Linked DNA regions of Alligator mississippiensis. The protein of the gene in region 2 interacts with the protein of the main gene of each other region in a pairwise test. Links are inferred from orthologs where the notes say so. Each region holds a gene or a part of one and is shown on either strand. Other genes may lie near its edges. The genes, in order: MTUS2, zinc finger protein 777, ZC4H2 and PLEKHF2.

Region 1 (7,613 bases), on a different chromosome or scaffold from region 2:
GGCAGTTAGACGGGCCAAAGCTACCATGGAGCTGAGGATGGCATCCCAAGTAAAGGATAACAAGAAATTGTTTTTTAGATATATAGGGAGTAAAAGGAAGGCCCAGGGAGGAATAGCACTCCTACTAAATGGGCAGAAGCAATTGGTGATGGACAGGGGGGACAAGGCTGAACTCCTCAACTAGTTCTTTGCCTCAGTGTTCCTAAGAGAGGGGCATGACAAGTCTCTCACTGGGATTGTAGAGAGGCAACAGCAGGATGCCAGACTACCATGCGTAGACCCTGAGATGGTGCAGAGTCACTTGGAAGAACTGGATGCCTTTAAGTCGGCAGGCCCAGATGAGCTCCATCCGCGGGTGCTGAAGGCACTGGCCGACATCACTGCACAGCCACTAGCAGGAATATTTGAACGCTCGTGGCGCACAGGCCAAGTCCTGGAGGACTGGAAAAGGGCCAATGTGGTCCCCAATTTCAAGACGGGGAGGAAGGAGGACCCGGGCAACTATAGGCCAGTCAGTCTCACCTCCATCCTTGGCAAAGTCTTTGAAAAAATTATCAAGGCTCACATTTGCGAGAGCCCGGCAGGACAAATTATGCTGAGGGGAAACCAGCACGGGTTCGTAGCAGGCAGATCGTGCCTAACCAATCTAGTCTCTTTTTATGACCAGGTTACGAAATGCCTGGACACAGGAGGAGGGGTGGATGTCATATACTTAGACTTCAGGAAGGCCTTCAATACGGTATCCCACCCCATACTGGTGAACAAGTTAAGAGGCTGTGACTTGGATGACTACACAGTCCGGTGGGTGGCGAATTGGCTGGAGGGTCGCACCCAGAGAGTCGTGGTGGATGGGTCGGTTTTGACCTAGAAGGGTGTGGGCAGTGGGGTCCCGCAGGGCTCGGTCCTTGGACCGATACTCTTTAATGTCTGCATCAGCAACTTGGACAAAGGAGTGAAGTGTACTCTGTCCAAGTTTGCGGATGACACAAAGCTATGGGGAGAAGTGGACATGCCGGAGGGCAGGGAACAGCTGCAAGCAGACCTGGATAGGCTGGACAAGTGGGCAGAAAACAACAGAATGCAGTTCAACAAGGAGAAATGCAAAGTGCTGCACCTAGGGAGGAAAAATGTCCAGCACACCTACTGCCTAGGAAATGACCTGCTGGGTGGCACGGAAGTGGAAAGGGATCTTGGAATCCTAGTGGACTCCAAGATGAACATGAGTCGGCAGTGTGACGAAGCCATCAGAAAAGCTAATGGCACTTTATCGTGCATCAGCAGATGCATGATGAATAGATCCAAAGAGGCGATACTTCCCCTCTATCAGGCGCTGATCAGACCACAGTTGGAGTACTGCGTGCAATTCTGGGCACCACACTTCAAGAGGGATGCGGATAACCTGGAGAGGGTCCAGAGAAAGGCCACTCGTATGGTTAAGGGCTTGCAGGCCAAGCCCTATGAGGAGAGACTAGAGAACCTGGACCTTTTCAGCCTCCACAAGAGAAGGTTGAGAGGCAACTTTGTGGCTGCCTATAAATTCATCATGGGGGCACAGAAGGGAATTGGTGAGGTTTTCTTCACCAAGGCGCCCCCGGGGGTTACAAGAAATAATGGCCACAAGCTAGCAGAGAGCAGATTTAGACTGGACATTAGGAAGAACTTCTTCACAGTTGGAGTGGCCAAGGTCTGGAATGGGATCCCAAGGGAGGTGGTGCTGTCCCCTACCCTGGGGGTCTTCAAGAGGAGGTTGGATATGCATCTAGCTGGGGTCATCTAGACCCAGCACTCTTTCCTGCCTATGCATGGGGTCAGACTCGATGATCTATTGAGGTCCCTTCCGACCCTAACATCTATGAATCTGTGAATCTCTCATCCTGTCTTTTCAATACAGCATGTTTTATGAGTTGATTGGAACAATGGGTGCTGGCTCTGTACTAGTAAAAGAATAAACGCATTAATAACTTTGACATTGTATTGTAAACTGAACTTGAACTATGTAACTAAGACACACTATCCCACAGAGCTTACAGTCCTAGCCAGATAAAACAAGACACTGGGCAAGAGTTCAGACAGAGCAAAAATAAGGGAAGGTGTGGAGATTATTATTTGAATTTTTAAGAGGGGCTTAGGTCGATAGGGCTTTTTGGTGGTGTTTTGCATATTTAAGAAAAAACCTGAAGGGAGACAAGAATTGGAGAGTAGCCAGTCAAGCAGCAGAAAGCATTCCTCATTAGTAATATTTCCAAAAATGTTGTATTTGAAACCCTATTTAATTTTTCTTGACTCAAGTGTAGTAAAGCTTCTGCAAGAGAAAGAGGATGGACACACATTTTACTTTGGCATTCAGAAAGCTGGTACCTTGGGTCCATATAAAATAATCCACTACAGCTCAGTCATTTGTATGTACAGATGTCAACTTGCACTTATAACTATACTCATTACATGGGAAAAATAATATAAACATATTCATATAGCCATATTTAAATGGTGATGGTGTATGAAATACTTGACTAAATGTTCCTAGTTTTTCTGTGAAATTAGAAACTTGGAATTTTGAAAAGGGCTTGTGCAGTAGGCTCTAACCATAAGTTTTCTATGTCTCTAATCAAGAGATTACCCTAAAGCAGGGGTGCTCAACCTCCAGCTCTGGGACCAAATCTGGCCTGTTAGACTGGGCACATGAGGCTGATCCAGGCAGCATGAGGCCAAATAGGGGTTGATCTGGGTAGTATGGGACTGGATCCTGGTGCACAGGGCCTGATCTGGCCCACAGACAGGCCTCCTGCCACTCATCTGGCCTGTGGGGCCAAAAGCACTGCTGCCCCGAAGTTTAATAAACCCAGACTACTTTAGACCAGACGGAAGTGCCTGTTTCAAAGACAGTGGGATTTGTCACCCTTCTTGACATGTCAGGGCAGAATGGCTATTTCAGGGATTCCAGAAAGTGGTTGGCCAATTCTTGAGATCTGTCTGAAGTGATACAGTGTGCTTGTTCTTTTCCTTAAAGCGGTGATTCTCAACCGGGGTGTGCAGCACTTTTTTGGGGGGGGTTGAGATCCTTCAAGGGTGTTGCAGGGTCCCATGTAATGTTAGGTGTACAGACATGATTCTCAAGATAAACCCAGAGATTTCAAATAGGAATCCACACAGTTAAAACATTCTGACCTTTTATTATCTCTCTGTGTTCTTTGAAACAGGGGGACAAAAAGATCCTTTTTCCTTAGTCAAATGATGAGTGAAAACAAAGAGCTGGCATATTCTGAAGGGTGCTTTGAGTTGGGAGGGGTTGAGAACCACTGCCTTAGAACCCTGAACTCAGATGGTCACATATATCTCAGCTTCCAGGTCAAGAACAGAAATGCAGTACTCTAGAACTCTTGGTTCAGAGATGATACCTCCCATTAGACCAACTAAGAAATTACAAAAGAAATGATCTTTTTCTGCAAGCTCTTGGGCACACACACCGTTCCTCAGGCTCAGGGAAAACTAAAGATGGGGAAAAATCCCCATAAGTAAAGAAAAAGCATTGGGCATTGGCTGCGGCCAAGGCTGGGGATTGTGATGGCTTTTGCTGGCACTAAGTGGGAGGTTCCTGGCTAGAGGGTCTTGACCTTCAGCTTGGGGTCACATCGATCCTGGTATCCGGGGATGAAATTTTCCTCTCCTGACCGGTACCAACTGGGGGTGAGGTTTGTCTTCCTGTGGCGGGGGGATGTGGACGGTAAGACCTCGGGATCTCTCAAGCATGCATTAAGAAGCAGGATGTTGGCTCTCCTGCTTTCTCTGTGGCAAGTTGGGGTGCTGTGCCTTGGGTAGTGTCAGGGTTGAGGGCCGCTTCAGGAAGGGGCAGGCACCCTCCAAGAGCGTGGCGCTCGAAGACATGCCACGTGGCACGCGCCTCGGGGCGGTTGGTGGAGAAGGGCCTGGGGCCACACTGCCACGACAAAGATCGGGCCCCTCGTGGCTCCCCCATCTCATCTCATACAAGTCCAGGTCGCGGGTGCTTTCGGCCCCAACACGTCGCTGACCACGTGATGGTTACATTCTGCACTGGTCCAGGATGCTGGGGCAGGCGGGCCGGGGGCTGCCCTTCCCGCGGGTCTGTGTCAAGGCCCAGCCCAGGGAAGAGGTAGGCAGCAATGACAAGGCTCCGCAGCCTCCCTTTCCCCCTCCCCAACTTTGTCACTTGGGAATTTGTTTTTGTGGCCAGCCCTTCCCGTGGCACCTGGCCGCAGCCTGCCGGGCTCGGCGCCCCTGCGGCGCGCGCGGGGGCCGGCAGGGGGCGCTGCGGCTCCTGGCGGCGCGGAGGCAGCGGCGGGCGGCTGCTCCCCGAGCCTGTAGGGAGAGCTGCTGCCGTGCGCACGGGGCGGGGCGGGGCGGGGCGGGGCGTGCAGTGCGCGCGGCTCTCGGCAGCCGCGGCGTTTGGTGCTGGGGGCGGCGGAGGCGGCGACGGCGATAGCGGCTCCAGGTAGGGGCAGGGCGAAGTTGTCCGCGGGGCGCTGGTGTCGAAGCGGGTCCGAGGGGCCAGGGGTCCCTGCCGCCAGCCCAGGTGGGCGCTGCTGGGGGGGCCCCGCTGCCCGGGGTGTCTGCTCCCCCCGCGGGCCGTCCCGCGTGGCGCCTAGCGCCTCTCTCGAGGAATCGCCCACGATAACAAAGCGGCTTCTCTGAGTCAGAGGCTGTGAGTGGGGAGCTGTGGTGGGCATCCGATCCAGAGCCTGCCGCCCGTCCTCAGGTGCTTGCGCCGGGGTCTCAGCGAGGACAGGCAGGCCGGCTCGCTCCCTAGTGCGGGCACGGCGTGTGCCCACAGCGGGCTGTGTATCGGAAGCCGCCTTCCTGAAGGTAACCGGAGCGGGGAGAAGACCGTTTCTGTCGGCACCGAGCAGGCAGGTGGCTAATAATTTTGCTGAACTCGCTGCGTGAGCCAGGGGGTGGGATACGCTCGCAGCCCCCAGCTGACATGTCTCTGCTGGCACTATTTAGAAGCGTGGGCTTGGACAAAACGCTCGCGCTGGGAAGGGTTCAAGAGGTGTTTGTCCTTCGGGTCACTGTAACGGTAGGGATACGCCAGCACAGCTCTTGCAGCTCATTACGTGAAGGCTTTGAATGTTTATTAATGCCTATAGTTCAGCAAGTTGCGTATTAGCAATAGGTATTGATACTAGTGTAAGGGTAGCAAAATAAAGTGTGAAATACTTGTATACAGGTAAGATTTTTGCAATGGATAGGTGTATGATACAGGCACTTTTGAGACGCTCTGCGCTGAGCTGTAAAAGGATGTAGAAATGCCTTTTTTGTCTTTGTTTTTATTGTAAGTGTGTTATGTGTGTGAGGTTTTATACAGGGTTAGTTTTTGTGCCATTTGGATTTTTCATGTAGTTTCTATGTAGTATTTAATATTTAACTCTTATATTTTGGCTCTGTGTCAAATCTCTCCTTGTCAAACCTTTTTTTTTTTCTCTGATGATCAATATCTTTTAAAAACATCTGTATAAAGAGTTTGGTAGAGAGAGAAAAATCTTGACTGCATCTAGTGCAAAAAGGGAGGGGTTTTTTAAATGGCTAGATGTATCATAATTTTTTAGCTATTATTTAGTTCACTGCTTGTTGAAATATTTGTAGATTTGATTTTTGATAGATACAGCTTGTCTTTTTTGGATCTGTTGAGGAATGGGAGCACGTTCTGGTTACGGACTGAAATATTTTTTTAAAAACAGGTCAACAAAAGGAAGTCAGATTTTGATCATCATTTCTAATTTGTCTGTTTGGTTTATGGTGGGATTTTTTTGAGGTGAGATTTTTTTGCATGTCTTGCATTTGTTGTTTTGCTAATGGCACTTGTGGAGACTTTAATAATAAACATGACAGCTTCACAGGTGAAATGCTACTAGATATGCTCCAGAAGTTTTTTGTCAAATATTTCTCATGGTGCCAGCAATACCTGGTCTTTTTAATAAGATAAAGAAAGGGGGGCAGCTAATGTATAACTTAATATGGTTGATAGTAGAGGTTTGTTAAATAGCATTTGCCATGATATTTAGGAAGAAAGCAGCAGTTTCCTAGACTTTGTAAAAGCTCTTAACACTGTACATTACAGGAGGCTATTCAGGGACCTTGGTAACCATTCACTGAGAGGTAATTTTCTCAAGAAGTAAAGATCAGTTAAGAGATAAAAAGTGCGGAATGGGAGTTGAGGGCTGCTGATGATTTTTTTTTTTTTGGTTTGGGGTTAATAGAGGATGCCCCAGGGATTAGCTCTAGGACCAGAATTGTTGTTTCTAATGAAACTTAGTGACTGTCACATGATCGGACAAGCACAAAGTAATGCAGTTTGAAAGAGCTAATTTAAGCTACTCATACCCACTGATGGCTTTTGGACCTGCTATAACCTCTTAGGAAGAAAAGATCTAGGTGACATCTCAGTGAGAGTGTCAGCTAAGAGGGAGGCAGCAGCCAAAGGAGGAAAAAATGAATAGGTTTGCCAAGGAGAATGCTGAAAAATGCTCAGTTTTTCATGTGTTGTTCAAACATTTGTTAAATTACTATATTTGTAATGTTACTATCATCCTGCACACTGCAGTTAAGGTTATTAAACAGGATGTTTGTATCTGAAAAAGAAAAATAGCTGAGAAAAACAGTAGAAAGTTAATTGATTGATGGGAAAGAATTCTGTGCCTGGCTTCAGTTCTGCAAACTTATACTTGTGTAAGTAATGGGTTTTTTTAAAGCAAAGTAGTTCAGTTTGTTTTTAAGGTGTCTTAATACTGGTATCTTATTCTAATGCCTGTATTTCTATACGAATCTGTGGCAAAGAACTGAGACCTAAATACACTGAGGGATGTAGCTGTCCAGCTCCTGGAGTGGAATTCACAAACCTTCATTAAGTTCAGAGTTTATTATGGAGAGAAATAGATCCTTAAGGAGAGGATTTATGATAATTAGAGGTGCACAGATGCATCACAGTCTATATCATATCAGCACCAGTAAAAAGAACATTGACATTATCAGCATTTGACTTTTTTTGGCTGATGTGGCCAGTAATGGTGCTGATAAATGCTGTGTGCATGCACACAGCTGCAGCAATCATGTAGCCAGCCCAGCAACTTGGAGAGCAGCGTCCAGCTGGTAAGTCTGTTGGGGTAAAGGAGGGGAGGAAAGGGGGGTGTGTGTGTGTGTGTGGGGGGAGGGGGGATTGAGGCCCCCATCGTGAGGGAGGGGTGGGGCCGGGGCAGATGCTGCCTAGCTGGGGCAGGGCGCTGGACGGAGCTGCAAGTGGCTCGTCCAGGGGCTGTGGAGAGGGAGGGGGTGCCCCCCAGATGAGCCATTCCCTCCCTGCACCCCTTGGGTGAGCTGCTCTGTCCCATGCCCTGCCCCAGCTGGGCAATGCCAGCCCCAGTCCTCCTCCTCCCTCACTGTGGGGAGCCACCCCCCAACAGACTTACCAGCTGGATGCTGCTCTCCAAGCTGCTGGGCAATTGGATTGGTATCTGCTGATATGGCTTGTTAATAATTGGCCATCGGTATCACCCCAAAAAATCTTTATCGGTGCACCCCTCACAATAATTGTGCTGCTGAGCTGGGGAATGCTGAAGCTAGCCTGTAAGAAATGCCAAATC
Region 2 (7,516 bases):
TACGTGCCTTTGGCCTGTCTTTCCTGCCTCCATAACTGAGGCAATGCATGTGCTGCGCATCTCTGCCCACCATGCAAATGGCCACTAATGCCCTGTAGCTATTTCTCTTTCGAACTGCAGCGTATTTGCCACACTTCACCTCTTGCTCTAGTGTTTTGGTTCCTGGCTGAGTCAGGATGGAGCGTCACAGGGCTGGATGATCCCAATAATTTCTTCCAGTCCTAAACTCTATAGAGCTCACCCCAGAGAGCACATGAGGCGAGATCCTACCCAGCTTGCCCTTCCACCGCATTTGTCGTGTGGGTCTGATGGCCTAACAGGTCTTGCCTGCAATCCTCCAGAAACCAGAAGGCCCCGCAGATTCACCCCGAGCCAGCCCGTACCAAGTGCAGCTGCCCAGACAGGAGTAAAACAAAATGCTCACCCAGCGAGACCAGGGTCTCATAGTTGCCCCTCATCACGTGTTTGTACAGCTCCTTCTGCCAGCTGGCCAAGTTCTCCCACTCCTGCTCATTGAAGTAGACCGACACGTCGTCAAACGTCACTGGCACCTGCAAGCACAGAGGTCACACGCTCAGCAGCTTCAACAACAGCCTGCATGCCCATAAGAGAGGGGCTGCATTTCACCGCATGCTCAATTGAGCCAAATGCACCTCGAGACACATCCGGGGTGCCCTGGCCCATTTTGCAGAGGTTCCCCCAGCTGCCACCCAGCCCTGAGGTCATCTGTTTGCAAAAGCCAGCTTGTTCAAAGCCACCCAGGGCCTGCTGCCTACCTCCAGGCACGAAGCCACCCCCTGTCACCAGCACAACCTGCTCCTAGCCCACCTACACTGGATGCTGCACAGACAGGAGACAGACATGCAATGCTGCGCACGCATGCGTGACCGGGTCCCCACCAAAGCAGGACGAGCTGTCTGCCCCCACTCCAGCAGTGCTTTAACCATGGGGCCTTTGGTGGATGTGGGGTAGCACCCCAGCTTCTCCACTTCTTTTTTGTTCAGACAAAAACTGGGTTTAGCTGCTTAACAGCAGGGAAAGGCGTCACTGCTGAGGACCCAGCCAGAGGGAAAGGCCCTGATCTCTGGCTATGTTGGTGGCACAGGTAAGTACCGAAGCTCCAGCCTGTCTTCTGCCCGTTGCATCTCCAGCTCAGTTTGGTCAGCAACCAGCACACCGAGCTCCTGGTCAGCAACTTGCCCCCAAGCGCTGCATTGAGACACCCAGCATGAGGCTGGAGACCTCAGGGGCTCAGCACTACAACCCCCCATGCCTTTGGGGATCTGGTCTCAAGACCACACACCTCGGCCACGCACGAGGTGGCAACCAGCATGAGATGCGTGCAGATGTACCCCAGGCCTGCCGCAGCAGCCCGCGCACCAAGCCATCGCCAGCTTGACTGCTGGGCTCCGAGAACGACCTGCCACCCTGCAGCTATCGCACTACGCCTCCACCTTTCCTCGCTGCATAAAGCAGACTCAGGTCCCTACTGCCATGCACGAAACGCCCGTTGGGAATGGCTGATATAAGGCCGTAAAGTCAATTGAGGCTGGATATCCAGAAAATCATTTCCACTGTGAGAACAGTGAGGCAGTGGCCTAAAAACCCCAGAAACGGGGTAGAGGACTCCTCATCACTGGAGGCGTTTAAGAAGATGCTGGGCTGTCACTGGTTGGGGGCAATTTAGGTGTAGCGATGCCTGTTTTCTACCATAGGTATTTCCCAAGCTTCTGGGCTTTGCTGTCTACTCCCTTTTTTTCCTCTGTTGTCAGGGTGTTTTTAAGCCTCCCCAGAGGCGCTGGGTGTTGGCTACAGCTAAGGGTGGGAACTTCAACGGGGGCGTGCCAATTCTCCTGCCGGGACCAAAGCCAAGGTTTCCTGGCTAGAGGGTCTTGCCCCTCTGCTCAGGGTCAGACCAATCACATCTTTGGGGTCAGGAAGGACTCTTTTCCCCCGTGGTCAGATGGGTGCGGACTGGGGGCAGGGAGGGCCCTTCCTCCGCAGCGGGGCATAGCCCCCTACCCAGAACCTCTCGAGCAGGTTTTATAGAGGCGAGACATTGACCGCCGCAGTCTCCCTGCTTTCCCTGCGGCAGGCTCGGGTGTTCGGTCGGTGTCGTGTCAGGGTTGAGGTCAGTCTTACACAAAGTCGAGATGATGGAGTTGTCTGGGATGGTTTGGACGGGGCTGAGGCCGGGGTTGGATTAGAGGTGACCTCCGGAGCTCTACTTCTCCGTGACCCTACTACGGCCCTGTGACCGGGGGTCCTTACCTGCGGGATCTCCCCCTTGGTGCCGGGCGGCAGGCGCAGGATCCAGAAGTTCCTGTTCTTGAGCAGGTTCTCCATGTTGTCCAGGCGCCGCTGCAGCAGCTGGTTCTCCTGGATCAGGGTGCCCAGCACGGCCCACCGCCCCTCCAGCTGGTTGCCGAAGTCCACCACGGTTTTCTCGCAGCCGGCCAGCTTCTCCTCCGCCGCCCCCGTCTTGCCCTCCAGGCTCAGCAGGCGCACCGCGTGCGACTCCACCTTCTTCTCCATCGCTTCCAGCGTGGCCATGACGGCCCCCAACGAGCCCGCCGCGTGCTGGCCACGCATGGCTCCCACCGGCGTCCGCTTGAGGACCACGGAGGGCTGCAGAGCCCGGTGGAGCCTGGCGTCCCTGGCACACGCCGAAACCTGCGGGCACAGACACTTCGTCTCTGGGGGAGTCCATACCCCACCCCTCGGGCTAGGGCTTCCCGCAACCCAGCGGACGGCGAGGGACCGTGGCACGGCGAGACAAAGGTGGACCGACCTGGCACCTTCCCCTGCGCACCGCTACGGAAAGGGGGTGCCGCAGGCGAGGCGGTGGGGCAGCACCCCCGGGGGAGAGGACACCTGGCAGGGCAGGGGAGGGCAGGGGAGGGGGTGCGATGCTCTGCCCAGCTGTGCAGCGGGGCGGGGAGGGAGGGAGGGAGGGAGGCGGGTGCGGGGCGCGGGGCAGGGCACGTGTGCACGGCGCGGCGCAGTTGGGGCGCTCCGGGGGCCCCGCGCCCCGCGCCCGGGGATGCTCCGCGCTGCAGCGCTTACCTCCGCGGCGCGCCCGGCCATGGCTGCGCGGCCCGACCGCACCACGGCGCCGCCTGCCGGCCGGAGGCGCCGCCGCCGCCGCGTGTGTCCGCGCTGCCGCGGGGCAGGGGCAGGGCCCGGAGCTCCGCCCGCCGCCGCCGCCCGCTTTGTCCCGGGCCCGCCGTGCTGGGCCGGGGGATCCCTTCCTGCCCCAGTGCAACGGGGCAAACCCCCCCAGTGTGGACCAGCCCGGGCAAGGGGAGATCCCTTCCCGCCCCCTCAGTGCAGACCAGTCTGGGCAGGGGGAAATCCCTTCCTTCCAGGACCTGCGGGGTTGGTGCCAGCAGGAGCACTGGCACAGCCCCAGCCTGGGCTGCAGCAGCCCTCCACATCTCTGAGAGAGGCGTCAAGCCCCCGCCCCTGCCCCTGCCCCTGCCCCACGGCAGGTGAGGAGAAGAGTTTCACGGTCCCGGGAAGGGGGCCAAGGTTCTGCATTCGCTGAAGCACGGAGACGTGGAGCTGCAGAAGTGACACCGGTGCAACCCTGGCGTGCGGCAGGACGAGCCCCGTGCAAACCAGCCCAGACCCAAACCGTTGCCCAACCTCTGAGCAGCACGACACAGCCAGCCCAGACACAGCAGGCATCGCCCCGCGCGTGCCCCAGGGAGAGCAGGAGGACCGCAGCCGCCGGCGACCTGCTGCTGTACAGGGTTGTTCGTGCACGCGCCAGACACCCCGGGGAGAGGCTGCGAGGAAGGAGAACGGCCCCGCTGTCCCTTTGCAGTGCCTTCTGCCCACGAATCCCATCAGCGGAGCTGGCAGCTGCCTGCTCCACGCACCAAGCCTGTGTCTCAGCAGCTCCCCGAAGCCTGCCCTAAAGAAGAGGCCCCGAGCCTGCTCCATTGCCGCCCTGCTGATGTAAAGGTTCCTCCTCCTACTTCACTTCAACCCGGCTGCCACCCTTTCAAGGGTGCCACGTGGCGTTAGCACTGCTAGGTGGGCGACCGGGGTTCACACGATGAGCCCCGAGACTTCCGATAGGAATCCACAGGGTGAAAGGCGAACCCCCCCGTGCACGCCGGCCCAGCATTTCCATGGGGCTGTTCTGTGGAGGATGGCCATAGCCCCGGGGCAAGGAGCGATGGGCTGAACTGTGGCAAGGGGAGACCTAGGTTGGGGGGTAGGGCAAACCTGTCTGGGGGTGGTTCAGCACCAGAACAGGCTGCCCGGAGAGGCCGTGGGGTCCCCATCCCTGGGCTTTTGCAAGAGCAGGCTGCACAGACACTCGTCTGGGATGGTTTAGTCAGGGACGATCCTGGACAGGATGGACCCCCAAAAGCCCCTTTTACCCTACGATTCTCTCTGTGGCTCTATACCCCCTGCCCTGCTTTTTTCACAGGAAAACTCTGTTTCTTGGCCTTTTCTTCCCAGCCATATTTCCCAAGCTCTCATCATCATCCTTATTACTCAGTGAAAACACTGAATAAACCCAGGGCCAGGGCAGGCCTCCCTTGAGATGCCGTCCTGCTTTGACAGCAAACCACCGGTAACTAGTCTGGAGCGCTGGTTTTCACCCAGTTTTGTGCGTGTCCCCCGCCGTCCCTCCTCCCCGATGGCTGTCCTCTTGACAATACACTTTTTTTACGCATGCTTCCTTCTAGCTCTTTTCCAGACGAAACAATCCCAGGTCCTTCAACCTTTCCAGCTGGTTTGATTTGAAGCCCCCCGTCCATCTTGTTGCTCTGGACTGCCGGCACTCTCTTTGTTTCTGAAGCGGGGGCACAGCGAGGCCCGCAGAGTGCAGCGATCGTCTCCAGTGTCGCACGCACAATGCTCCTGCTAACAGACAGGACAAGGCGCAATGGTTTCAAGTTGCAGCAAGGGAGGATTAGGTTGGATATTAGGAAACACTTTCTCACTAGGAGGGTGGTGAAGCACTGGAACAAGTCACCCAGCGCGGTGCTGGGATCTCCATCCTCGGAGGTTTTTAAGGGCCGGCTCGACACAGCCCGGGCTGGGATGATGTAGTTGGGGCTGCTTGGAGCTTGGCCTCATCTGCAAACCTGAAAAGCTCGCTTTGCCGTCCATCCTCTGAGCCATGAATGGCTCGTTTCTGTTCATCTGGTTCCGAGGCTGCTAGGACCCCCTTTTTAAACAAACAGGGACTGTGTTTTTTGCCCTTCTCCCCTGGTCTGGGACAACTGCAAAGATAATCGCTGCGGGTTCAGAGATCAGTTGGACTAGTTCTTTGACTACCCGAGGGAGGATTTCATCAGCTCCTGCTGACCCGACTGCACCGAAGGCTCCTTAACCTGTTTATTTCCCCTCCTGGCCGATACTCTTATCTCCTCATTAACATTACATTTTAACTTAGCCTTTTTGACTGGACAGAAGCCCAGCATGCCCCAAATACCTCCTTGGCATCAGTACCAGACCTTCACTGCCCTCTGCCTTCCTCTTTCTCCCAAATTAATCTAGAGAGCCTCCCCCAGGGGCCTTTCTCGCCCCTTGCTGTTACACCGTATCTCATGCCTTTGCTGGTTTGCTGTTACCCCACCCCAGGCTTAGTCCGTTCCTTCCCACTGGCTTCGTCATGTGTTTTTACTTCAGGTCTATGCAGGGCCCAGGATGCGGCTGGAGTAAGGGCTTGCTGCACATCCCATTGCTGCTTTGTGCTGGGAGAGCCGGCTGCTGCACCTCCGACCTAGCTGGCTTTTTTCAAGGCTCACCCTTGTCCCGCTGCCCTGCGCCCTGCTTTTCTTGCACGGCAAACCCCCTCTGTAGCAGTTCAAGGCCACGGGGCAGCTGTGTGGCTCCTGCCCGGCTTGGACTCTAATGTCACCCTCCCTGGATGCCATGTCTTGTTCTCATTAAAGGCTGATTAAGGGAGGCTGCCCACAGGCCTTAGAGTGAGCCTCGGTCCTGGCAAAGGGGCCATACTAGTCTCAACTCACCCCCCAGGCTTGATAGGCCCTCTCAGCCTGCTCGTGCCTTTGGAGGGCACCAGTAGCCTAAAGGGCTAATTGCTTGGCCCCGCTCTGCCCTACACCACACCCCAAGCCTCGCAGATGTTATCATTCAATGGTGGCATCTGAGGTCCCTCCTGCTTAGCCCCTTGCCAGGCTCCTCAATACTTTCAGCCCTTCCCTCTGGGCTCTCGGACCCTCCGGTCCAGCTCGCAGCCCCTCTTGGACTTGTGGACCCTCTAGTCCAGCTCTCAGCCCTTTTCGGGGCCTGTGGACCATCTGGTCTGACTTTTACTCGCTGCCTGGCTCCTGAACATCCAGGTCCAACACTCAGACACTCCTCTTGTCTTTAAACCTTCTTTGGTCTTGCTCTCTCTCAGCCCTGCTTTGTGTGCCTGCATCCCCTGATCACACACCCAGCCCCTCTCAGGCCCAGGGCTTATATAGCTCAAGCCCGGCCTGCTGCTGATCAGGTGCATCCCTAATTAATCCCCTTTGCCACCTGCAAGCTGGCATCTTCTCTACCTCTGAAACGCCAAGGGGATAGGACAAAGCAGCCACGCGGGCTCCTGCTCATTCACTGCAGGTCACAAGTGTTCCCACCATCCTCTACCTCCCTTCTTCTTGGGCTAATTTCTCCCTGAGCCAAGCAGGGAACATGCTGTAGGGCTGTGCACATCTGCCCCCCACCCCTGCAAATCTTGGGGAATGGCTGAATATATACACAGAGGACAGGATTGAGCATGGACCCCGTTGCTGACACCCGGGGCTGTTGGGAACCCGTTGCTACTTCCAGCCTCAGCAGAACCCAGGGTCCTGCACTGGGAAACCACGTCTAACTCCACAACCCAGCAGTGGTGGGCCAAGCAGGTGCTCAGCCTGTGTGGGATGATCAGCCCTATAAAAAAAGGCCTGGTTCTTGGTCCATGAAAACTTCGGCCCCCATTCAGAACTGAACACAGACGTTGGCCACTGGCTGGCAAAGTGGACTGTCTCCACTTATATTAGCCAACAGAAAATAGAGTCCAGCAGTTAAATATCTGCTTATTCATTCGCGTGGGCCATGGGCACCCAGCTGTTGGCCTGGCCATGGGTAGAGAGTAGGTCCCTAGTCCATTCAGGCTGTCCCAGGGGCTGCACTGCTGCCCCCTCCCTGGGTCTGCAGATGGGGCCTGTCCCCGGTCCTGACTCCATAGGGCATTGATTTGACCCTGAGCAGAGGGGCAAGACCTTTTAGCCAGGTCAGGTCATTTTCCAGTAGCTCTTGTCATCTGCTCCTCCCCACAGCAGGGGAACAGGTGTGTGGGAGCCCCCTCTGCAGTGCCTGCTCCAACTCTGCACAGATACCCAGCCCAATGCACAGGTGAATCCCAGTGTGAGCATCCAGCCTTGCACAGATGTCCTTCCCTCTCTGAGCCCCCAGGCAAATCCAGAGAGAAGCCATGGAGCAGAAAGGCATGATCACAGGCATCCCATCTGCAGGCTCTTTCGTGGCCATGGAAATC
Region 3 (7,952 bases), on a different chromosome or scaffold from region 2:
TCAATAACATCTCAAGTATACTAGTCAGTCTCTGACAAGTTGAAAACAATCTTTGCTCAGAAAAGCTTGCAATCTGTGGTACCAATCCTGCACCCTGATCTTCTGATCTATGCATCTTTGTAGAGTATCTTTGTGTTGAGTGGCACTCTGTCCAGGTGCAAAAGTTTGCACTGGCAGATTTGAGGCTGGTGCAGAGAAGGAGTATCATAAAATGGGTGGGAGTGATACAATCCAAATATTTATGCTTGATTAAATATACATTATGTGATTTTTTTTAAAGTGGAGTCATTCTCTAGTAAGCTGTTCCTTTATTTTTTGCAGATATCATAAAAGAAGCAACTCTTGAAGAAGGACTTGGAGAAGGATGTACTGGATTTGCCTGACCAATTTCATCTGTGGTAATAAGAGTACCTGCTATTCTGAATGTATGTAATACATTTGCATCAAGGAAATTGCTTTTCTCATTTTCTCTTTTCTGTATGCAAGTGTCGTGTTAAAAGCAGAGACCATATTAATTTGACATTAACCTCATCACTGTCTTTGGCTCCACTTAAAACATCTTTAGTAATAGCAGCAGCTTTGACTAATGAAGCTAAGAACACGTTTCCTTTCTATTTTTTAATATATATTCCATTTATTTCTTGAAGACAATGAAAATAGACAGGTTAGTTTCATTGCTATTTCTCATCACTGACTTAGGTGCTGCCAAAATGATACAGAGTTGCAGTGGGTTGTTTCAACCCAAGCAATTAATTTTTTACATTAAAAAACAAGCATGCCCAGATCATGAACTTTTTCTGTGAAAATCTGGCCATATAAAATATTTTTGAAAATAAAAGACCTAATTTTGGGACACAGACTTATCTAATTGATTCTGCCCTTGCATCTATTCTTGTCTTTTCTATTGAGATGCTTATACTGCTCTTACCCCTCTAGTATCTACATGCCATCCAATAGCACATTAACCAACATAACTAACATCTGTCATGAGTGTTTCATTCTCATTCTCTCACTCTCTTCACTGGGGGAATCCTGAGGATTCACTTAAATGGGCCTTAACTCAGCGTGACCCAGAACGTTGCACTTTGACTGTTTTAAAAAATGTTTTAAAGATATTCATGTCATTTTCTTGGTACCACAATGAACAATAAAGGCAATACTTACAATAGTAAAGTGTATTAAATAACTACACGTAAAAAGTCACCTTTGGACATAATCATCATCAGAAATCTGAATGCATTTGATGTTGCTGAATGCAAGCTATTGTAACAACTAAAGGAAAAAAAAATCAGGCAGATATTTTGAATCCTATGTTAAAATTATTGAATCTCAACAGAACTGTGATTGGCCACAATTAAGTCTATGCTTTAAAAATTATACTCTTGATGTTTCAGCACAAAAGTTTCAGAGCATCACTGGAAGTCTGGGAAATATTTGCTGTCTTCTCCTTTGCTGTAGAGAATTCCAGGATGCCGTTTACAAAGATTTTGTGGGGTTTGGTCTTACAACACTTATTCATTTGTACTCTTTGCAGGAGAAAAGATCGGGCCCTTGCCTAGCAACATAACTTTCTCTTTTCAATTCTTATCATACTAGAGTCATAATATTTTGTTAAGGTGCAATAATGATAAAATTATCATTACTGCCAGCTCTTATTTTGTGCTTTTGATATCTGTTTCTTTTATCAATCAGTTAGCGGGGGATTAAAGCTGACTGTGCTGCACTGGCAATTTTTGATTTCTTATTATTGATTCCCTCAGGCTGGTCTTTTAAACTTTTCAATACAAAAATATAAAACACAATCCATGATGTGGATCAGCATAGTACACACACAAATAAGTATATACAGCTGTATCCTAGCCAGGGCTGTTTACTGCATCTTCCATTTACTTTCAAAATTATTGCAGTTACTTTCCCTACAACATGAGCCTTTGCTATTAAATTCACAGGTCCGTGCTAATTGCAGACAACTGAGGAAGTAAGCAAACCACGATGTTCAGAAGTAAAAAGGTGCAAACATGCCATTTAAAGACAATCCAGCTCAGTGCCATGCACTGCAGTTTGATTGACTCCCCCTGCATCACATCCTGCGATTCACTGTATGAAGGACACTATATAAAAATTAATGGTAGATTAGATGGCACAGAAGAGTGAAGAGCTCCAGCTGCCTGCCTTCCTGGTAGCCTCTCTCAGGAAGGCAGAAGCAGCTCTAAAGCTATTATGTCCCTGCTTCATCACCCTTGTTACAATCTCTCCACCCCCCTTGTCCCCCAAAGTCCTCTATACGCAACAGAAAGAGAACCTGGAAAAGAACCTCCACGTTTCACCCTACCCCCTCATCCCCAGCCTTTTCTCCAAAATGGGGATGAAAGAGGGAAATAAATCAGCTAAACAAATCTCTGTAGGACACAGTTTTTGTTTTGTACTGCCCCCACAATAAACCCCAAATTCCTCTGCAGTCTATAACAGTGTTGCAGTACATATATCCTGGAGCCTTGGCTAAGCAGACACTGTAACAGGTCATTCTGGCTCACCAACCATTTTAATTTTTTGGAAACTACTTTCCAGCCCCACCTCCCTAATTTTTAGAGCAGCCCTTCTGTTTCCACATGCATTTGTTATATCCTGCAATTTGTTATGCCCACTTTTCCTCTATATCCCATTAAATATGTGCATTATGCAACCTGCAAGAAGGAAGTTAAGAATGGATGGGACCAAAACCTGCAAACAAACCAAAAACAAGCAACCAAAAATCTCATCCTAGCAGTGTACAAGAATTTAAAAAAAATCCTTATGCCGCTCTTCTTTAAACAGATCGAGTGGTTCATCCGCTGCTACACTGTACTCCTTCCCCTCATTTTATTGCTTGAGGGTAATTCTTTGGAAGTACATGATGATCACCACCTTACAATTTGGTTCCACAGGCACTGGCTGTCAAAAGCAGCAGCTTTCTACTTTTTTTTTTTTTTTAAAGAAATATGATGCCCATCTTCTGTCATAAAGGCTCTGATTTTTCTGGGGTGCTATGAGGTTGGGTTTTTTTTCGTTTGGTAGCATAACAATAGCTACTTTCAAGTCAGTGTACATTATCCATACCATAAAAAGAAGAAAAAGCTTCATGTAACTGATGCTGCACAAAAGAAAACATACCTGATCTCTTTGATGCTTTCCAGTTTGCACATGATTTCTTGCTCATCAGCCATGCTTTTCACTCCCAATTTAAACCTCCTGTTAAATGTGCAAGTGCCAGGAAAGAAAACCCCATACAATAGACACAATGTAGCCACCCCCCTCCAGGCATATGGTCTCTGAGCCTGTGCAGTAAAATCTAGGAGGAGCTCTGGGAGTTAGAGTCCAGTTCCTTATTGTTGCCCAGGCACATGGAAGCAGGGAAGACTACAACACCCACAAGGCAGAGCAGAGATTTCCTACTCCTCTTCCTGCAGCCACACTTTAAATCAATTTGTCACAGCTAATAATGTCAAAGGTTGTTAGGAGGGCAGGGGAGCAGAGTACTTCCTCCCTGAGGTTTGTGGATTGTTTTTATTTCAATTAAACCAATCCAGCAATAAATATATGAGTATTAAGGGTGAGTTTGACAAGTCTAAGATTTGACGGGAAAAGACGTTTTAAAATAATCACAGCTGTAACCATTGCTACAGCCACACACTTGTGTATTGGACAGTTTAATTGCCATGAGGGTACCCAGAGACAGCGTGGGGGTTCCTGATCATTTTCTTTATGGTCTCAGGACAACATAATGAGTGTAAATTACAGAAAAGAAATAATAAAGTGAGAATACAAATATGACGCTAGAAAATATTTAAAGCAACCCTTTGCCTTCTTTGTGCCTTCCTTCTGAGGATCTGCAAAAAATTTACAGACCCTGAATTAGCCTGCCAATCCTGTATGAAAGAGGTTTTTATTTTTTTTTTGTCCGGCTACCATGGTACGCTATGCTAGATGCTATGTAGACAGTTGTAGAATGCAACATTTTTGCAAAAAACAAAAAAACCCCAAAACCAAAAAAACCCACAATATCATTCCAGAACACATTAGTAGGAGAAGCATATTGAAGACATGGTGGGTAAGTATTGTGTACTACTCAGTGCTAAGGCCTCAGCTGGTACAATTTTCTCAGCTTTGGGCAACGCAAGAGTAAGAAGGATGCGGACAAACTGGAGGACGTTCAGAGGCAAGTAACAAGGATGATGAGAGATTTGGAGAAATACTTCTAGGGAAAGATTGAAGATACGTTGTTTGTTTAATTTAGAAGCCTGAGTGGAAACCGAGGTCTTCCACTATGTAAAAAGGCTGCGATAAAGAGGACTGTAAGCATTTTCTCTCTATGTCCACTGAGAACAGGAGAAATAGTTATTGGCTACATTTGGAGCAGAGAAGATTTAGGCTAGATATAAGGAAAACCTTTCTAAATATAAAGATAGCAAAGCCCTGGAACAAGGTAACCAGGACAGTTGTGGGATCTTCTTCACAGGATTTTTTTAAGAACAAATTAAATAATCAACTGTTGGTGATGGTCTGGTATATGTGATCCCACTTTATTTCTTTCATAGAGAAGTAAGGCTGAAAGGGACCTCAAGAGATCATCTAGTCCAACTGGGGAATCTTAATGCAAAGGGTCCAACTAGATCAGAGGTATTGAGTTCATCTTGAACCAGATCCAAATCATAGGGTCCTCCTGGGCTGGATCTGGGAGGTAAGTGGTTGCGGCTGGTCTGGCAAGGAGCCAGGAACAGTAGCAGGGCATGAGAATGGTTGCAGCACTGGGAGTCCAGAGGTGGCAGTGTGGATACAAGGGACGTGGTGGTGGGGCCAAGTACTGGTGGGCCGGCAACCAGAGGGTGAGCAGAGCTGTATCTGCTCAGCCCTTGCCCCTGCACCGATGGCCACATCCCCAGAATCCGCAGCAGGCCTCCACAGTTTCCAGTAGCCCACTGGTAAGCATACAGGCTAGATGGAATAAATAATTCTGCAGGCCAAATCTGGCCCATGGGACACATTTTTTACACCCGTAGACTAGCTGATCTTTTGAGGACCCTTCCAGTTCTACAGTGTATCACTGACTTCAGTGAAACTACTTATGCAAGGCAGGGGGCATGGGTTTACTAGAGTTTGCAGGATAAGGCCCAAAGGAGGGAAGGACAGATCTCTTCACTTTCCAGCCATCCTGCAGAAACATTCCTCTCTTATTTTACTCCAAAATGCCTACACATCAAAATTACTTTTTTTTCCTGACTCTCCACCCAGATGTAATCACAAACAACCAGGGCTGCATCCTGTGTAGACTGTAGGCTTAAGTCCTCAAGGCCAACTTGAAAAAATGCAACATGGACATCAACTTGTGGAAGACTATCTCCCAGGACCACCCCAAATGGAGGAAGAGTCTGCTGGAAAAATCAGTCCTCTGAACAACAAGAGATGAAAACGTGGGAGTGGCAGAAACAGCGTGTCTCAGACCAAATCAAGAATCCAGAGCCACCCACTCTACATGCAATAATGTGCCTGAGTTGCAGCAAAGCCTGTCGATCCTGGATTGGCCTCATAAGCCATCTTCGGACCCATGGATAAGCCAGTCATGGAAGACAATCATCCTCAAATGCGATGGATTGCCAAAGAAGAAGGCTTAAGTGTGTGATGCATTACTGAGCATCTTGAAAATCTCTTGCAGCCCATTATGCCTGTGCTCTTACCGGCAAGTTTGGGTGTTGTGTACTTTGTGGGGTAGGTGAAACGTTTGGCTCAATCTGATAAAGAAAGGCGAAAAGAATTATAGTCAATGCCCTTATTTTCTATTGCATTAATAATAGGCAGTAATCGGCACACTGTCCTTGACATTTTCATGCATATTAATTAACTGAGCTTAATGACATTCCATGAGACAAGCAGTACTGTAATGCCACTTTTTTGGATAAACCCAAATGCCAGATCCAGACCACCCTGATTGCTGAAGAAGTTGCCATCAGGCCTATTTTCACTCATTTTACAGATAGGGAGACTGAGGCACAGTGAAGCTAAAGAACTTGCCCAAACTTTAACTCAGAATTGAACCTAGATCTCTGATATCCAGTCCCCTGATCCAATCACTAAAAGCTACTTGAAGAATAATGTGCAGCAGGACTGGATCTTGTTTAATTGTTATACTGAATGACTCTTAACAGCGGATGCTACAGAAGATAAATACTGTGCATATATGGCCCTTTTCTTCTGAAATCCTGAGAGTGCTTTGCAAAAGTGCATAAAAAATAGAACCACAGAAAGGTTAGGGTTTACATTTTCAAACATAGTAGCCTAAAATCAGGTATGTAAATAAGTAGCTGGATTTTTACAGGTGATGGATATACATATTTATTTTGAAAAAACAGGCCTAATTTTGCTCTTCACCTCTAAATCCATAGTCTTAACTTCAACCAAATATGAAATTTATGTTGACTTAACTGAAAACTTGCATGTCCATGGTAACAGAGGGGTAACTCCAGTCACATGTGAGTATTTGTGCTGACTGCTGTAGGTTTCTTCTAAAGATACCTATCTGTGTTCACAATCACTCCATGATGCATTTATGTCAAACATTGCCAGTTGTGAAGAGCATTGCCATTTACAACTCTCATAATAAGGAATGCTACAATCTTCTCCTGGGCACCTGATACTTCCGTTGAATAGAAAACATAATCTGAAATAAATGAGCAGCAAAAAAGAAACTTATTAGGAAATGGGGCACAAAGTTAGATCACTCCACACCAGAAATGCTACTTGTGTGGCAAAGTAGATGGACCTTTGCCAAAGAGAAGCCATCTACTTCAGTTCTCTATGTAGATCTCCAGCTGGGGAGGAGGAATATGTTTGACTCTCAGTGAGGCTTTCTACAAGTTGTACCAACAAAAGGGTATCTCAGGAGTCTCTATAGATGTGCTGGTTGCTCAGGACGTGCACCTTTTCTGCCAAGCATTGCTTGATTGTAATGCCACAACAAACTCTTGATAAATAATGTTGCAACTGTTTGTATCACCATCATTTGGAAATTTTTTTTACCCAAATAAAATGTGGTTGTTAACGTGTGTGACGTAAGACAGTTTTGTCGAAAGATGGGTCCTCTCTTCATGACACAGGAAAGTTTGTTACTTCCTTAAGTCTGAGCTTCACTGATCTGGGAAACAAGCCATGTCGGTCTGGAGCTGTCTTCTGCATACAAAACTAACACAAAGATCTTTCCAGGTGCTTAATTCCTCATTCTTGGTGCACTCAACTCCATTTGAGGTAAATGGGAGTTTGCTGTGAGGGAATATGAGACCAAATCTCTCTTGATAATTTAAAAGGTGAATTCTTTTAGCAGATAACACTATTTGTCCTAATTATGCACAAATGAGCAGAATGATTTTCCCTGTCGTTTATTTGCACTCTTCCGCAACCTGCTGTTAATGTTCTCCTGCTGTCTGCAGAAGATTGCTCTTCTCCAAGGGTAGTTCCTGAACTGCTGTTTCTAGCTGTTCTCTGCCTACATTTGCCCTTTGCAGAGATCCCATGTGTATATTTGCCAGTGAAGTTCCCTGCATTCCTGGAGCACTATCAAGCAAATCCGAATCTCAGAAATGAAATAATGATGTGACAGTATAACCATCTCAGTAAATGTTGTTGGACTAAAAAACCTTGGACTGATTAAAAACCCTCCATGCATGGCAATTCCCACTAACCTAAAAGGGATATTTATGTGGTATACGGAGGGCTTGAAAAAGCAGGCCCTGTTTATACCAGTTTGCTTCCCTCAGTCCATTTTGAAATAAGTTACAAATCACCATTTGAAGTAGGTCATGGGGTAGAATGTGGCCCTGCAGTTGGAAGAAATAAAAGGCAGAAACCAGGTTTCAGGGGTGAGATGTCCTCACACATCTCCTGTGTTAAGCAGATATTCTGGTGTGTAGACTGAATAACGCTGA
Region 4 (7,452 bases), on a different chromosome or scaffold from region 2:
AAAATAATTGCCCACCCCTGTCCTACAAGAACACTTATCCAAATTAATACAAAACTTTAAGAAACTACAAGTCAGTATTCCAGTAAATTCTCTCTTTTCTCCTAGGGTTACTATATTTTAGGGAAAAAAAAGTTCCAGTATTTAAAGTCCACTAATTTCACTGTTTAATTCATTTATACAAAATGCATAAAGTACTTTGAACTGCATATATGATAAATAAACCTACCTGGCTTATTATTTAGAACAAAGAAAATAGTAATTGAAGCAAGTGACTAACAATCCTATAAAATGAAATATTTGAACTTCAAAAATAATTTTTAAAATTCTTAAGTTACTATCAAGTTTTGTTTTTACCTACAGTAGTATGTATGCAAAGACACACCATAAGATCCAAGGTATTTATATTGTAGCAACTTTATGAACTCTGACCTAACTGTAAAAAAAATTAAGAGCCAAAATAAGTACGCAGCAGTATAATTCATGACTGTCTGTAAACTGTAAAGCAAGTCTTATTCACACAAGCAGCCCCAATTCCTTTAGCAGAACTTCTCAAATTAGCAATCTGCAGGACTCAACTTGCTACAGCAGCTGTCATCACTTGTTTTACCACACTGAAGAGTATTTTAATGCTTTTATAAACATGATCTTCCATACATGTCTACAGATAAGTTTCTCTATCCACTTCACTCCCACCACTACAAAAATAAGTGCTGAACTAAATCCCTTGGAACAAAAGCAACTTTATATTTGATTAGGGAAGGACAAGCTTTTTAAAACTTATGATTACATTTTAAAAACATATTTTGCATAATTTACCTTTTCAAACAAAAATATATATTACATTTTAAAAATTAAGTTAAACCATTAAATTTACCAGCACACACAAATGCCATATTTGGAAGTGACAACTGGTATTACAAATCATGTGAACTAAAATAAAACTTGAATATTAAATATACTGAAGTCTATTAAAAACTAGCTAGCCCATTGCTGTAGAACAAAACTTATTTAGAGTACTGCTCAGTTTTTATTTTTGGTTTCTCTTCTTTCGCACAAGCAAGACATCTTTCAGAGAATATTTTAGATGTAAGCAAACATGTCTGGCTGAAGCCAACCCTGAAGTTTCTTTACTTGTCTTCATTAATACATACTAGCAGCCCATTAGTTTAACTAACTCAGCATTACCCTAATACTGAGAGCCCAGTTAATGTATTTGACCAAGTGTCAGAATTACAACTACACAGCATTTCAAATATTTTAGTCAACAGGCATATTTTCTTCAACATACTCGAATCATCTCTGTTATTATCTACATGCTCTACTTCAACTTCGAGTATCTAGCCTTCACAGCTGTGAAGATAATTGTGACCAGAGTGCACAAAAGAGCCCGTTTTGCATGCTCTACCATAAGCACAGCCCGAAACAATTTTATGTCTTCAGTGAAGGCACCCAAACTGCTGTCCAGACAAGACTGATACAAAACAATCAAGTCCTATGCATTTTTCACCTCCATTAAAGGCCTACCAAAACATCTGAATATAACCATTAAAGTGATTATCAACAGAATTAGTTAATACACAGCTGGGAATCTGGAAGCTGGAGCAGGTTGAAAAATGCAGAAGAAAGTAGCAAGCCCTGAATTTATGTCCCAGTCCGCAGCCTATAATTTAAAAAACAAAATTAATCCCTCTTCACAAAATGTGTTTCCCCTCTAATTTCAGACTGTTAGGTACATCTTTACAAAAAAAGATACTCATCTATTTAACTCTGAATGACATGAAGGAAGCAGCAGCAGCAGCTTCCACTCCTGCCTCAAGCCTCTACACATCAGTATTACATTTATAATTCAAGCAACTCCATCCATCTACTTTCATATACAGCAGCAACCTCCTCAAAGCTTCCAAAGCCCCGAGATATATTTTGTATGCAAGAGCCAGGAATCTGGGGCCAACAAAGATGATAGGGTTTCAGAGTCACCATGTCCTAGGCTGCTGGACTTTCTCTGAATGATATTTACAGCCAATATCTGTACTGCTTGAAACACCTCAGACACCTGGAAAATGAGTTGAGCTGGAGTGTAAAGTGAGCTATTACAGTGGAAACAAGACTCTCACTTTGCACTAATCTCCTTAACAGCTCCTTGCTTATTAAAATGTAATATTTAGATTAAACAGTTTTAAAATGAAAGGCTTAATTCAGAGCTAGATGCCAGTCGCTGGTACTACTGACACAGGCAAGCACTACAGAGCTCATACAGCGAAGCCAGGCAGCAACGCAATCCTCACCGTCTACTGTAGGAAGAAAGCCCCCAGATTCCTAAAAATAACTCTGTTAACGCCCCACAAACTTCTCCAAGTGACCTGAAAGTTTAGCTACCGCTGGATTTCTCTCTCACTCGGAAGCCAGGAGGAAGCGGCGAGCCGAGCTGTGCCGTGCCGTGCCGTGCCGTGCCATGCTCGAACCAACCTCGCGTTACTCGGGTCTGTTGGAAATGTCACTCCCCCGTTCCCAACTCATCCGTTCAGCCCGACCTCGAGTGAAGGCGTTTCCCGCCGCCCGCCCGCCCGCGCTGGGCTCCGCCACCCCGGGCCGGGCCCGACCCACCCCAGCCACCAGCAGTTTGCTCCTGCTGCGACTCCTCCAGCCCGGCCTGTCCCGGGCTACAGACCGCACAAAGCGGGGACGCGGAGTCAGCAGCCGGGCTGCTCAGTACGGCCGGGGCTTGGGCACGGGGAGCTGCAGGCCACGGCTCCCCATCGCCGCTGCCCGGCCCGGGACCAGAAGGGGAAGGCGAAGGACCGAGCGGGGCTGCCTGAAGGCCGGGAGGGAGAGGAGCCTTTTCCTCCCGAGCGGCTCCCCGGGGCGGGGCGGGGCCTGAGCCTCGGCCGCCTGGCCACGGGGCGCAGGGCCCGGCAGAGGCAGCCACGGCCACGGCCCCGGGGGCTCCCGACATGGCCGCGGAGCCCGCGCAGGGACGGCGCCGCCAGCCAAAGTTTGTCCCGCGCGAGCGACCACACTCACCCGGCCCGGCCCGTCCTGCCGCGCCGCTCCCCGCTCCGCTCCCCGCTCGGGCAGCCGAGCCGACCCCGCCCCGCCGGGCTCCCACTCTGGGACTGGCTGCAGGCCCCGCCCGGCCGGGCGCAGGGGAGGGGCCGGCGCCATCTTGGGGAGGCTGGGGCAGGGCCGCCTCCCCGCGCGGCTGCTCTCCCCGGGCGCGGGGAGGCCGTGTCCGCCCGCGGGGCCTTGCCTGTGTGGGGCGCAGCGCGGTTCGCCCGGCCCGGCCCGGCTGGGGAGATGGCCTGCGGGAGGGTGTCCGGCTCCCTGCAGCCCTACTGGCTGCCTGCGCCTTTATGCACCCCCAGGCCCTCCTGGGCCACCTGGCCCTGGCCACGGTACACCTGACCAGGCTGGAGGGAGGGAGGACCCCCCAGGCCTGCAGCGCCACTTTCATAGCTGTAGGGTCGGAGGGGACCTCAGGAGATCATGGAGTCCGACCCCGGCCTGGGCAGGAAAGCGCGCAGGGCTCACACAACCCCAGCCAGGTGCTTGTGCAGCCTCCTCTTCAAGACCCCCTGAGCTCTTGGTGAAGCACCACCTCCCTTGGGAGCCCATCACAGATTTTGGCAACCCTCACCATAAAGAATTTTTTCCTGTTGTCTAATCTACATCTGCTCCCCATCAGTTTGTGGCTGTTGTTCCTAGTAACCCCAAGGGGTGCCTGGGCAAACTTGAGTATCCCCTATTCCTTGCTGCCCCTCCCAGTGAACTTCTAGGCAGCCACAAGGTCCCCTCTCAGCTGTCTCTTGTGGAGGCTGAAGAGATTCAAGGTCCCACAATCTCTCCTCATAGGATCTTACCTGCAGGCCCCTAACCATACCAGTGGCCCTCTGGACCCTCTCAAGGTTATCCGCATCCCTCTTGAAGTGCAGTGTCCAGAACTGGACACAATGCTCCAGCTGCAGCCTGACCAGTGCTGCACAGAGGGGAAGTATCACCTCGCTTTCCCATCCCTCCTCTGTTCTCCAGGCAGTGTCCACTGGCTCCTTCAACTAGTTCAGGGGCCTGTAGGCACTGTCCGGTGTCCTCTGCTCCCTGTCCCCACTGGCTGCACTCGTTTTGAACCTGTGACCCTCACCCCCATCGCTGTTTTGTCTTGGTTGTCCCAAGCGGTCACTGACATGTCCTTAGTGGCCATCCTCATTGAGTGGGGGCTTCTAGCTCTGCTCCGTTGGCTGTGTCCCACGTTCTGGAACAGCATAGCATCAAAAGGCCTGCTGGAGCTGAGCCCCAAGTGCCTGATACGGCCTCAGGGGACGGCTTTGATCACTTCCAATTGCCGAAGAGAAATGGATTATCGTGGGTGAAACTTGCTGGGCATCCGTTGCTCACCTCACCCTCTTTCCTCTTTGCTGCATGTCTTATGGCAGCTTCCGTGGCAAGCTCTAGGATTTTGAAAAGGGGTGTGCAGATGGTGAGGTGCATCATCACATATAACACAATTTTTCTCCAGTTAGAAATAGACTACATTAAGAAATAGCATTATTAAGACACTAGGGGTCTAAGGCTGTATGATTCCATTTCTATTAGAAACAAAAACAAATATATCTTAGTTGGAGTGAGTTGAATACAATCTGCAGGGCTGTGGAGAGACCAGAATTGCAGAACAAAGGAGAGCTTGATTGGTGGAACATGAAGACCATTAAAAAGAAGAGGGCTGGTAACAGCTGGGGATTGAAGAGTTTAGAAAGGATCCGGTAGATTATAATGAGCCATGAAGTCCATTGACTCCCTCAGCACTGCCTGACTAGAAATACTGCCGCCACTGCCAGGCAGGTGGTTTTAAACTTTGGCTGGAGCAGTAATCAAAGTGGGGTGCAAGCGCACCAGTGCTCTCCCCCAGATCCTCCCCTGTCAGCTTCTGTTTTGTTAAATGTAAGCATTTGTACTATCTTCCAAGATGTTATGCCCTCATATCCTCCACAGGATTGCCTTTTAACACATCTTTTGTTTTGCCCATTTTTGACTGAGGTTTCTATGGCATGGTGCCACCCAGAATAGCTTTCCATCTAATGTATGTGAAGCTCATTCCCTCTCCAATAAAACTTCTAAAGAACCCCTTTTCCTGAGGTAATCAGACTGAGAAGCACTCACATTTTGTGTTGTACTAGCTAGGCCTTTTGGATTGTAAGATTCTCAGATCCAGGATCTGGTAACTGTACAAGACACTTCATCTATATACATAGTTCTCTAAACTTTTTCCATATAACATGCTGCTCTCATTTAGGCTGGATCAAGGTGACTGGTCTGGAAAGTAGTTGCACCACCTAGTTACAAAACCATGATCTTTTACAGTGTGGTGGTTTTGGGTTGGTGGTGTTGGTGGTTGTTGGTCAGGTGGTGGGTTGGTGGTGTTGGTCAGGTGGTGGGTTGCAACTCCTACAAAAGTGATCAGAAGGTGTTGAAAATTCTGTTATGCATCAGAAGTAAGCAGTATCTTGTTCCCCTACTCCTTGCACACCTTTACCATTCAAAACAAGAAGTATTCATCAGAAGAATTATCATTATTATAAATGTTATAAACCTTTTACTTTTATAACATGTTTCAGCAGGTCATGAAGATTTTTCACTTTGAGTAAGGGCTTGCCAACCTGAAACAGCTAAGAAACACTGATCTGTTGTACAGTATCCTGTATACCAAAAATACCACATAAATAATAAAATCCTGTTTCCTAAAGAATAGCCCCATATTTCTAATTTAAATTGCCATTTCAATTTTGTGAAATATTTTTCAACCTTTATTATTCTAGGGGATGTATTCATTAGCTTCAGGTTTATCATCTATTTGGATAAGTTTAGAACCACACGAATTTTACAAAGGTATTTGTGTAAGTGATGTGAAATGTCATGGGTCTTAAAATTGCTTTTGTTGCCTGTGAAAAGTTTAGAGATTTGATATTTTTTCCTGTGATACAATGATGATATACAAAGGTATGACTTCTGTGTCACAGCCTCCTGACTCATCAGCATGTACAAGTCTGTGCTTGTGAAATAAACTGCACCAACAGTTTGAACCATTAAGTTTCATTTAACTGTAGTGAGGTTTAAATTATCTAGCTGTCATGTTCAGCTAATTTGAATAGCAAAAGGAAACAGCCCCAAATCCTTAATCTATGGTCATTTCAAATTATAAAATCAAATGGAGAGAAGTTAAAAGGGAACGATTAGTCCATTAAAGTTCCTGGTTTCAGTGTTATTAGCAGGGATCCTGGTTTTCTCTGTTTAAAAAAAATCCCAAATTCTCCAATAAAAAACCCCAAGTTCTCTGATAAAAATGTAAAATCTGCATTATTCCACAATTAGGATGAAATTAAATGCCACTACACACACACACACACCCTCCCTATGTAGGTACATATAGGTATCAGTTTAACACTATGCTTTATTGATATATTTACAATTTTAGAGCAATTTGGAAGCCTACCAGTGACTCAGTCATTATAATAAAATTCTAAATACCTGAATATTTTGGTGTTTGATTTTGGATTTTTGATCATGGAAAATCAGAGCTCCACCCCCTTCATTCATCAGAACACGAGTCCAGCTGCAGCTGTCCCACCTGCTGCTTCGTGGTTCTGAGCAACCCTTATATATGGGTGCCCTGCCATTGCCCATACCAGTGTCCCTCACTCCCGACCCACAGCTCCCCCAGCCCTGCTAGTGCCCCACCCCACTTCCCCCCAGGCCCCAGTATGGGAAGAAGGGGGTGAGTGTGCAGGGAAGGCGGGGTGTGGACACAAACAACACATTGTGGGGAAAGAAACAGGGGCAGCAGCATGGAGTTGTGCACCCAACTGCTGCTGGGTGGGCAGGGGGCACTTCACCTTGGTGTCCATGGCTGCACAGCGCTCCCTCTCCTTCCGCTTCTCACTGCAGCCCTGTGCCTCACTGTGGGTACAGAAATCTGGGGGACACATTATCTGTGCCCTTCCACCTCCGACGCATCACTTGTGCTCCCATCCCACCCCCCACTCCCATAGGCTTACCTGCAGGGAGCTGTAGGAGGTGCTCTCCACCACACTGCCTAACCCTAACCCTACTCCCCCACCCCTTGCAGGCTAAAACTCTGCCAGCCTGCAAGGGAAAACCCAAGGTTTCCCAATTTTGAGAAAATATGCATTTTTCCACAGAAAACAGAAAACCCAGATCCCTGGCTATTACTATTATTCATGTTTACAAAGCCACTGTTCCAAATGTGAATGTGATTTTTTGTTTTTTCAGGGGATGGGAGGTTAACTTTAGGAATAATTCCTTCCCTGGCCCCAGTGGAACATAACACATAGGACTAAGACCTACATCATCAAATCTAGCATGTTATGCTGCATGAGGTTTTCTCTGTTTGGGTTCTGTTAGCTACCTGGTCTTGTCATCGTTTTCTTCATGGTCAGAACGTAC

The links.
Region 1: the proteins of zinc finger protein 777 (region 2) and MTUS2 interact in binary tests that used the Homo sapiens proteins (3 or more experiments, as listed by UniProt). The two-hybrid records come from large-scale screens. The link is inferred for Alligator mississippiensis from reciprocal best matches to the Homo sapiens genes ZNF250 and MTUS2.
Region 3: the proteins of zinc finger protein 777 (region 2) and ZC4H2 interact in binary tests that used the Homo sapiens proteins (3 or more experiments, as listed by UniProt). The two-hybrid records come from large-scale screens. The link is inferred for Alligator mississippiensis from reciprocal best matches to the Homo sapiens genes ZNF250 and ZC4H2.
Region 4: the proteins of zinc finger protein 777 (region 2) and PLEKHF2 interact in binary tests that used the Homo sapiens proteins (3 or more experiments, as listed by UniProt). The two-hybrid records come from large-scale screens. The link is inferred for Alligator mississippiensis from reciprocal best matches to the Homo sapiens genes ZNF250 and PLEKHF2.

What each region holds. Positions count from the first base shown.
Region 1 is NC_081824.1:427,352,545-427,360,157, reverse strand, and holds the start of MTUS2 (microtubule-associated tumor suppressor candidate 2), read left to right. Parts: upstream 1-4,409; 5' UTR 4,410-4,468; intron 4,469-7,613. UniProt on the Homo sapiens protein: Binds microtubules. Together with MAPRE1 may target the microtubule depolymerase KIF2C to the plus-end of microtubules. May regulate the dynamics of microtubules at their growing distal tip.
Region 2 is NC_081828.1:218,304,643-218,312,158, forward strand, and holds the start of zinc finger protein 777, read right to left. Parts: upstream 3,151-7,516; 5' UTR 3,088-3,150; coding exon 3,067-3,087; intron 3,056-3,066; exon of another isoform or gene 2,792-3,055; intron 2,674-2,791; coding exon 2,272-2,673; intron 552-2,271; coding exon 425-551; intron 1-424. UniProt on the Homo sapiens protein: May be involved in transcriptional regulation.
Region 3 is NC_081831.1:63,327,325-63,335,276, reverse strand, and holds the start of ZC4H2 (zinc finger C4H2 domain-containing protein), read right to left. Parts: upstream 3,332-7,952; 5' UTR 3,204-3,331; coding exon 3,151-3,203; exon of another isoform or gene 322-3,150; intron 1-321. UniProt on the Homo sapiens protein: Plays a role in interneurons differentiation. Involved in neuronal development and in neuromuscular junction formation.
Region 4 is NC_081826.1:42,918,725-42,926,176, forward strand, and holds the start of PLEKHF2 (pleckstrin homology domain-containing family F member 2), read right to left. Parts: upstream 3,116-7,452; 5' UTR 3,022-3,115; intron 2,534-3,021; exon of another isoform or gene 2,361-2,533; intron 2,308-2,360; exon of another isoform or gene 2,286-2,307; intron 1-2,285. UniProt on the Homo sapiens protein: May play a role in early endosome fusion upstream of RAB5, hence regulating receptor trafficking and fluid-phase transport. Enhances cellular sensitivity to TNF-induced apoptosis.